Macaca fascicularis: one gene and its partner. The protein of the gene in region 2 interacts with the protein of the main gene of each other region in a pairwise test. Links are inferred from orthologs where the notes say so. Each region holds a gene or a part of one and is shown on either strand. Other genes may lie near its edges.

Region 1 (4,350 bases), on a different chromosome or scaffold from region 2:
GCTCCCTGCGCTGCCACGTCGGGCCCCATGCCTCGCCTGCATGGCCTGTCCACTCCGAGCGGAGCCCAGCGTTTAGGTGCGTGTTATGTCATCACCCAAAGCCTCTGTGTGCAAGTGTCATGAGGCACACACAGCCTTCCATCACTGTGGCTGGAGGTGCCCGCCACATGCAGTGTTGGCTCCCCCGTACTTAGGGCTTGGCCCTACCTGCTGTGTAGCCCATACCCTGCATGGTTAGAAAAAACAAGGTCTCTTTGACTTTCTGGCTTAGAAGCTGACCTTAGATGCTAGCTGAGGTTAATGTTTTACTGAATTGGAGAAAGAGAAAGCTCCAGTATCGCGGGCACACCGAGAATGTTTCCAGAAGCCACAGAAATTTGTAGCTGGGATATTGGGAGAAGCCTCGGACTCACACGTTTGCATCGTCTAGTCCCATACTAACTGTGTGATTCCGGGGTCAAGCTGGGTAGGAGAACCTAGCCCCTGCATCCACACACTGAGTGCCGCCATCCACACCCTCACCTGCTTGTGTGGACTGAACGTGAGATCTTCATGAGTCTGTAGTCCCCACAGGCCACACTCCTGCTCGCAGCTGCCTCCTTGGGGGAGTGTCACAGCTTTCTCTCTCCTCCTTGGCCTCTAGGCATTGAAGTGGATATTGACGTGGAGCACGGCGGGAAAAGAAGCCGCCTGACCCCTGCCTCTCCAGAGAGTTCCAGCACAGAGGAGAAGAACAGCTCACAGCCAAGCAGCTGCTGCTCTGACCCCAGCAAGCCGGGTGGGAATGTTGAGGGCGCCACGCAGTCTCTGGCAGAGCAGATGAGAAAGATCGCCTTGGAGTCCGAGGGGCGGCCTGAGGCAAGCCTGTGCCCCTCCCACCACCTGGGACCTCGGGCAGCCTAGCGATTTGTAGCTGCACCTCCGCCTCATCCTCAGCACTTATGCAGCCACTTATGAAACCTGAGGGAGCTGCTGCTGCTGCAGTGATGTCTGTGCCATTAAAGTCACTCTGGGAACCTGCTAGAACTTTGTAGTTACTTGGTCTTTGTGAGTGGCTCACTGATCCCCGTAGCCCCCTGCAGCCTTAAACACATGTGTGCGTGCACGCTCCCCGACTGTTTGCCAGGAGTCAGTGCCATGGTCAGGCTTGGCCTGTTGCGCGTGTCTCTTGTATGCTCATGGTGAGTTCTGTTTCAGGAACAGATGGAGTCTGATAACTGCTCAGGAGGAGACGATGACTGGACCCATTTGTCTTCAAAAGAAGTGGACCCGTCCACAGGTGAACTCCAGTCCCTACAGATGCCAGAATCCGAAGGGCCAAGCTCTCTGGACCCCTCCCAGGAGGGACCCACAGGGCTGAAGGAAGCTGCCTTGTACCCGCATCTCCCACCAGGCAAGTGAACCAAGAGTTCTGTGTTCAGTCCTACCTTTCCCTTCAGAGCATCCTGCCCCCCGATTCCAGCGACACAAACAGGATGGGACGTTCTCCACTGCAGGGCTTGTCTGTAGGTGTGGGAGGTTAGGAGTTGGTTTTGTCCTCTTACGTCTACCCTGAGCAGCAGTGAGTAAGCTCTGCTAATGCAGGAGTTCTAAAAATGTTTTTCTTTAAGCAAACTCCAGAGCCAGGAATATTAATTGTAGGAGTTTCTAAAACTTAACATGCAGACCAGGAATTAAGGTAGGTGTGACACAGAGAGGGGGCAGCACTGGGTGTGTCCCTACTACTCACACTGGGCTCAGACCTCTTCAGTGTCTCCTCAGGGAGTGCTGGTCTGAGTGGGGGTCATAGCCAAGATCCCTGGAAGAGCCAGGCAGAAGCCACCGTTGAAGTGGATGGTGTGGAAGGCAGCGGTGGGGGGTGGGGACAGCTGACAGAGACTCCTCATTGTCACTGCAGCCGTGTGTGTGTAAACCAAGGTCTGTGCACAACCTGCTGTGCGCTGCCAGTGTGTCTTCTCTGCCTTAGGGCAGGGGATGGCGAGCTATGGCCTATGGGCCAAGAGTAGTTCTTGTATTTTTCAATCAAAAGATGTGACAGTTAGAGGAAATGCGTATTTCAGTGTCCAGCGATAGTTTTGTTTACATACCACCTGGCTGCCTTGTGTCACAGTGGCAGAGTTGAACAGTGTGAAAAAGACTGGTTGGCCCTTTACAGGGAAAGCAGGTCCACTGTGGCCTGTGAGGGCCAGAGCTCTGGGCACTCGGACACTGGCAGGCCTTGGTCCCGCTGGCCAAGGCAGGAGGGTGTGTGTTTCGGGTCACTCACAGGGCTCAGCATCACTCCTCATGGCTTCCTTACTGTTTTGGCAGAGGCTGACCCGCGGCTGATTGAGTCCCTCTCCCAGATGCTGTCCATGGGCTTCTCTGACGAAGGCGGCTGGCTCACCAGGCTCCTGCAGACCAAGAATTACGACATCGGGGCGGCTCTGGACACCATCCAGTATTCAAAGCACTCCCCGCCATTGTGACCGCTTTTACCCACCTCTTCTGTGTCCCCCTCTTCTGTCTCGTAGCTGTTAAGCTAGTGTAGAATTGCAGGTCTCTGTACGGGCCAGTTTCTCTGCCGCCTTCCAGGATCAGGGGATCAGGGGTTAGGGTGGAAGAAGCCATTTAGGGCAGCAAAACAAGTGACATGAGGGGAGGGTCCCCGTGTGTGTGATGTCTGAGAAGCAAGACTGGTCTCCTGGGTGCTCTGGTTCCCTGCAGCAGGGCTGGGCCTGCGAGACCTGAGGCTCACCGCAGTGCTCCTGGCCCCTCCCTGCAGGGGCCACATTAGCAGCCCAGACATAGCTTGCCTAATGGCCTTCCACTTTCTCTTTTTAAATGACTCGGAGGTCCCTGACATTTAGTTGATTTTCTGCTAGAGACCTGGTACGCTCTGATTTTAGATAAAGGATGCCTAGGTGTTGTTGGCGGGTAAGCAGGGGAGGCGGCTGTCCTGGCACAGGCAGTGGGGAGGCCGGGGCAGCCAGTGTGGTGGGCTTCCTGCTGGGACTGAGAAGGCTCATGCAGGGCATCCGTAATGTTGGTTTCGCTGAGAGCTGCCTCCTGGTCTCTCCACCACTGTAGTTCTCTCATTGCCAAACCATCAGCTGCTTTTAAAATAAGATCTCTTTGTAGCCATCCTGTTACGTTTGTAAACGATCTAATTAAATGGCATCAGCACTTTAACCAATGACATTTGCATAGAGAGAAATGATCTGTTTGACAGTAAGTTTATTGGTGGTTCTTATACAGTATCTTTAAAAGTGCCTTAGGGAACCCTGTCCCTCCTAACAAGTGTATCTCGATTAATAATAACCTGCCAGTCACAGATCATCATCAAAGTCTTCACCAGTTGTAAAGAGGTCACACAGTCGTGGGAGTTGGGGATTCTGTGGCTCCTGGACCAGGGGCCCACCCTCTGCCCAGGGAGTCCTTGCGTCCCATGAGGTCTTCCCGCAGGGCCTCTCAGGCCCGGATGTGGTGGGGTGTGTGGCCCGAGGAAGCTGGACAGCGTCAGTGGGCCTGCTGAGGCCTTCCCTTGAGGCCTGTGCTCTGGGGGTCCCGGGGGTCCCCTGCTTAGCCTGTGCTGGAGCAGCTGGCCCAGGATCCCTCTGAAGAGGCGTTGGCTGCTCTCTGTCCACATGTGAACTGTTTCTAGGTGACAGGACAAATCGCGCCCATTTAGAGGAGGTGGCGGTGACCTGCTGGGCAGGACTCCATAGCTCCTTCCCAGGACCCCTCGGCTCCCTGGCGCCGCAGTCGGCAGCGTTCTCCCGGAGGCAGGGGCTGCTGCCTTGCTTCACCTTCCATGTCAAGCCAGCCTGTCCCTGAAAGAGAAGATGGCCATGCCCTCCATTTGTAAGAACAATGCCAGGGCCCAGCAGGACCACGAGCCCTGCCTGGGCCCTGCCTGGGCCTCTGGTTCTGACACTTTCTGCTGGAAGCCGTCAGGCTGGGACAGGCTTTGACTTTGAGAGTTAGCAAGACAAAGCAAATAAATGCCTTCCACCTCACCCCAAACCATCTGCTAAATTGCATGACCAGGCTTTCCAAAAACAAGACACGTCATCTGGTGATCCATCTCCTGGGGACCTTAGAATCGGGTCACCAGTGCCTACAAAGGAGGTTTGAGCAGGGAGGGCCTAGAGACGTCTGGAAAGGGGTGGGCTGGCTCCATCCTGCCATCTCCCACCTGGGAGCAGCTCTCCAGAGCCTGCCGGGTTCTGCAGCTGCACAGGTGGCAGCACCGAGCTCCCAGTGGCTTCTCTCACCCCAGGAACCAAAGATGCTCTGAAAGTTGGGTGTAGGCCGGGTGCAGTGGCTCACGCCTGTAATCCCAGCACTTTAGGAGGCTGAGGCGGGCAG
Region 2 (5,443 bases):
CTGGTCTGTCACCTTCCCTTGGACTGGGCAGTGCTTGCAGGCAGATGCTTGGTGAAGGTTTTAGACCTTAAAGGCTGTGAGTCAGCACTCCTGGAGTCTTACCAGGATGTCCTGGTTTGTAAAAATCTTTCCTGTAGCTGTGTCTCTCCCAAATTTTTGTGGTGGGTGTGTGTGTGTGTGTGTGTGTGTGTGTGTGTGTGTGTGTGTGTGTGTTTAAATGGAGTCTCACTCTGTCACCCAGGCTGGAGTGTAGTGGCACGATCTCTGCTCACTGCAACCTCTGTCTCCCTGGTTCAAGCAATTCTCCTGCCTCAGCCTCCTAAGTAGCTGGGATGACAGGCATGCGCCACCACGACCGGCTAATTTTTGTATTTTTAGTAGAGATGGGATTTCACCATGTTGGCCAGGCTGGTCTCCAACTCCTGACCTCAAGTGATCCACCCACCTTGGCCTCCCAAAGTGCTGGGGTTACAGGCATGAGCCACTGCACCTGGCCTCCCAGTTTTTTTGTCTGTTTGTTTGAGGCATAGTCTCACTCTGTCACCCAGGCTGGAGTGCAGTAGCACGATCATGGCTGTGCAACCTTGACCTCCCTGGCTCAACAATTCTCCTGAAGAGCTGGGACTGCAGGCATGCCCCACCACGCCCAGCTAGTTTTTAACCTTTGTAGAAACAGGGTCTCTCTATGTTGCCCTGACTGGTCTTGAACTCCTGGCCTCAAACAATCATCCCACCTTGGCCTCCCAGAGTGTTGGGATTACGAGCGTGAGCCACCACACCTGGCCCTCTCTCCCCAGTTTAAGGCTAACCCTGCACAACCTCCACCAGTTACACATTCTGCCTCTGAATGAGCTGCTATTTTATTAGCAGGGAGACTCAGAGCTAGATCAACTGGGCCAGCTCCCAGCTCTTTCACTTTCCAGCTGGAAAACCTTAGCTAATTGACTTCACCTCTTGGGCAGTTTCCTCACCTGTGAAATGAGGATAATAAAGTCATGCCTGATTCATAGAGTTATCGGAAGGTACTAAGATGAAGCATTCCCCGTGCCTGACAGTTCCTCGTGGCACACAGGAAAGTAGCTGTTGCTATCCTTATAGACAACCTGGCTGTTTCTCACTGGGCATTTTCTCTGCTGACTGGAGCCACTTAGCTGGCCCCAGGGCCTTTCTCTCCCTCTCACATCTCATCTTTCCCCCAGTCTCTGTCTTGGTATCGCCTGGAAGGGCAGCCTAATGTCTGGACCCCTTCCCATCCGCTGAGTGATCCTGAGCGCCGAGTTGGGGTGTATGGGTCTCCAATCCTGTCTCTGAACTGGCTCGTGTAGCTAGTCCAGCTAGAGGCCTGGATCCTGAGCAGATGAAGGAAGGGGAAGGAGCTTGGGGGAGCTGGGCACAGCATGGCTGAGAAGGAGGATGGGCCCCCAGCAGGCATGAGAACCGACCTGGAGCACTCCTGTTTGTAGATGTCAATGATGTTCTCCACCAGCAGGTTCCTCTGCAGGCCGTACACTCCATGACGATCCATGATCACCTCGTGGCGGCAGGTGGGGCAGCGGAAACGGCCTCCAGACATGGATACCGAGCTGCCCCGGCCGGTCCAGTAGGGATTTGCAGCCTGCAGGTGGCAAAGGTCAAGGTGAGGCCTGGGCTCCCTCCTCAGCCCTTCCCCTTTCTAATCTCCTCTTATCCTTTCCTCTGCCTGCCCCAACCACCCCAGTCAAACCTAATGACCTGGAGCTCCGCAGGCTGCGATGAGAACCAGTCCTCACATACAGAGCACCTGAGATGCAGCTAAGCAATCGTCAGGATGGGGAGGCAGGAGACCTGGGTTCAAGTCATGTTAATTCTCTGAGTGATTTTGGGCAAGCAACCTTATCTCTCTAAGCCTCAGTTTGTCCACTTATGAAATGGGTATTACAATGAGAGCAAGCTCCTAAGGCTGCTACTTTAAAGATAATATCGTGAAAGAACATTTTGTAAAGTGTCCCTGGGGAACCTCGCATCCTGCCTCCCAGCCAGGACACCTACCCCCTTCCTTTCTTGGGGATTTGGAGCCGCTTCTGTCCCCATATTGTAGGGAACAGCCTCGAAAGGGAAGACGCCTCTACTGCCCACTGCCTCCCCGACACCCTCCTCCCAAAGCTCTGGGCCTCTTGCCACCAGGACCTGGCTCCAGCCCCAGGGGTCTGGTTTCTCTCTCCTGTCCCTGCCTTCCCCGCTTATCACTTGAGGCATTTGACTCTTGATTGGAGAGTCAACAGCAGTGCTCAGGGCAGGGGTGGGGGAGCTGTGGGCAGGGTGGGGAGGGGAAACGCGTCATGGAGAAGAACTGCAACAGCTAGAGCTGCCTCCCATCCCCTCTCAGCCCTGTCTAGAGGCCTCTGCAGGGGTTCACTTCCAAGGGAAAAGAGTTAGAAGGCTAAGGGAGAAGAAGGGCTTCATTCGGAAAGCCGAGTAGCCACCTGGGACCCCCGGATGAGGCTGCACCCGGCACTGACCTGGAAGATGTCATTGGCACACTTCCGGCACAGGTTGTGCTGGCACGGCAAGATGACCACTGGCTTGGTAAACATCTCCAGGCAAATAGGGCAGATCAGCTGCTTCTCCAGGTTCTCCATGGGGTTCCCATCCTGGATCAGGCTCGACTTATAATCCATTCTGTGGGCAGGAGTGAGAGCCGCGCCTAGCTGCCTCCTCTACTGACTTTGCTCTAAGTAGACCTGGGGAGTCTTGCCTTTGTCACGAAACACCAGGTCGGATCCTGTTGGCTTCCTTCTCCTGGTGCCCGAATTCTGTCTTGGTCTGAGGCCCCTCTGATATTTATAGCTAGATCTTGGTCACATGAGCTCCAGGAGGGGACCAGCTGAGCATTCCGATGCCAAGCGGCTGGTGGGGCTTGAGTTTCCTCCAGGACTGAAAGACTGGCCCTCTCGAATCACATGCAGGGATGAGCAATCGCTGTTCTTCTGGGACGGGGGTCATAAACAAGAACAGCCTGTTCAGAGGCAGGCTTAGGGGAAGACTGGGTACCCAGAGCTTCCTCCAGAAATTGGTCTCCCCCCGGCACCAGGCTAGCGGGTCAGGGATAGGACCCAGCAAGTGAGCCACTGGGATTCAAAGGGTTAATAGCCAATGCTATGATGAAAATGTCGAACATTTTTCTGAGTACTGGTGTACATCAGGTAACTAATATACATCACAATGTGACAGATGGATGAGTGATTTGTTTCCCTGCCCTGAGAAACTCACAGCCCAGGAAGGGAGATAGAAAGGATCGTGCAGTGGTGCGATCTCTGCTCACTACAACCTCTGCCTCCCAGGTTGAAGCCTCCCGACCCCAACCCCCTCCCAGCCCCGCTCAACCCCTCACTGACCTAAATCAATTCCATCCCCTCTTCTGGAGTCCTGAGCAGCTCCTAGATGGAAGGGTCAGGCAGCCCCTCTCTCTGAGCTCATCCCTCTGCCTCAGACCTCAGCACAGCATTTTGCTGGAGACAGTGGAGACCCCCACCCCAGCCAGCCCATCCTCCATCCCTTGGCCACTTATTTCACTCAGTGCTGAAAGGCCTCCCTTGAAACGCAGTCCAGTCCCCTCATCTTATAGATTTTGAAATGGGACTAGAGAAGAAAAGGATTATATTCAAAGTCAGTTAGAAAGTAAGTGACAGCCGGGTGTGGCGTCTCACACCTGTAATCCCAGCACTTTGGGAGGCTGAGGCAGGTGGATCACGAGGTCAACAGTTCAAGACTAGCCTGGCCAACATGGTGAAACCCCATCTCTACTAAAAATACAAAACTTAGCTGGGTGTGGTGGTGCGAGCCTGTAATTTCAGCTACTCGGGAGGCTGAAGCAGGAGAATCACTTGAACCCGAGAGGCAGAGATTGCAGTGAGCTGAGATGGCGCCACTGCACTCCAGCCTGGGCGACAAGAGAGAAACTCCATCTCAAAACAAAACAAAACAAAAAAAAAAAAAAAAAGAAGAAGAAAGTAAGTGGCAAAGCCAGACATTTTATTCATTCATCAGACATGTTTCTGAGTACTAGTATACATCAGGCAACTAGTATACATCACAACATGACAAATGGATGAGTGATCTGTTTCCCTGCCGCAAGAAACTCACAGCCGAGGAAGGCAGATAGAAAGGAAAAACCTGCCGGGTGCGGTGGCTCACGCCTATAATCCCAGCACTTTGGGAGGCTGAAGTGGGCAGTCGGATTGCCTGAGGTCAGGAGTTTGAGACCAGCCTGGCCAACATGGCGAAACCCTGTCTCTACTAAAAATACAAAAATTAGCTGGGTGTGATGGCACACACCTGTCATCCCAGCTACTCGGGAGGCTGAGGCAGGAGAATTGTTTGAACCCAGGAAGTGGAGGTTACAGTGAGCGGAGATCGCGCCACTGCACTCCAGCCTGGTGACAGAGTGAGACTCTGTCTCAAAAAAAAGAAAAGAAAGGAAAACCCCTCATGCGGTGCCACAAAGCCCTGCCTGGACACTTAGAAGGCTTCCCTCAGCTCTCTGCACACATTTTAACTTTTCTCCATATTTCTTAGGACATCTTCCACATTGGCAGGTAGAAGTCATTAGAGCAGTTCCAGTGGCTGTTTTGTTTTGTTTTGTTTTGTTTTTTCGAGACAGAGTTTCACTCTGTTGCCCATGCTGGAGTGCAGTCGTGCCATCTCAGCTCACTGCAACCTCCGCTTCCCAGGTTGAAGCGAGTCTCCTGACTCAGCCTCCTAAGTAGCTGGGACTACAGGCGTATGTCACCACACCCGACTAATTTTTGTATTTTTAATAGAGATGGGTTTTTACCATGTTAGCCAGGCCGGTCTCCAACTCCTGACCTCAGGCAATCTGACTGCCTCGACCTCCCAAAGTGCTGGGATTACAGCTGTGAGCCACTGTGCCTGGCCTCCAGTAGCTGTTTTTAAGGTAGCATCTAATGAAAGGACCGTGGGGTCATCCGGTCCAAGGTGATGAGGCAGAGATATGGAGCAATGGTATCAGGTCCCAAAATAAGTCTAAGAGGCCATGGAATACTCAGGAGAGGTATGAAGGATTTCAAGAAAGAGGAATGACGGGAAAAATGAGACAAGACATAGAGCGGAGAAGCAAACCTTGGAAGAGAGGAAATGGGAGAAGAAGAAGAGGAACAAGTTACAGAAAAAGGAAGAGGCCTTAAAAACAAAGGGCTGGCCGGGCACGGTGGCTCAAGCCTGTAATCCCAGCACTTTGGGAGGCCGAGACAGGCGGATCACGAGGTCAGGAGATCGAGACTATCCTGGCTAACACTGTGAAACCCCGTCTCTACTAAAAAAATACAAAAAACTAGCCAGGCGAGGTGGCGGGCGCCTGTAGTCCCAGCTACTTGGGAGGCTGAGGCAGGAGAATGGCGTGAACCTGGGAGGCGGAGCTTGCAGTGAGCTGAGATCCGGCCAGTGC

What was found.
Region 1: the proteins of TRIM63 (region 2) and SQSTM1 interact in a two-hybrid assay, tested with the Homo sapiens proteins (2 studies listed by BioGRID and IntAct). The link is inferred for Macaca fascicularis from reciprocal best matches to the Homo sapiens genes TRIM63 and SQSTM1.

The regions. Positions count from the first base shown.
Region 1 is NC_088380.1:186,726,880-186,731,229, forward strand, and holds the end of SQSTM1 (sequestosome-1), read left to right. Parts: intron 1-643; coding exon 644-858; intron 859-1,197; coding exon 1,198-1,393; intron 1,394-2,310; coding exon 2,311-2,468; 3' UTR 2,469-3,175; downstream 3,176-4,350. Other genes in the region: MRNIP (MRN complex-interacting protein), read right to left, coding at 3,309-3,812. UniProt on the Homo sapiens protein: Molecular adapter required for selective macroautophagy (aggrephagy) by acting as a bridge between polyubiquitinated proteins and autophagosomes.
Region 2 is NC_088375.1:209,073,250-209,078,692, reverse strand, and holds part of TRIM63 (E3 ubiquitin-protein ligase TRIM63), read right to left. Parts: intron 2,967-5,443; 5' UTR 2,658-2,966; coding exon 2,499-2,657; intron 1,616-2,498; coding exon 1,443-1,615; intron 1-1,442. UniProt on the Homo sapiens protein: E3 ubiquitin ligase. Mediates the ubiquitination and subsequent proteasomal degradation of CKM, GMEB1 and HIBADH.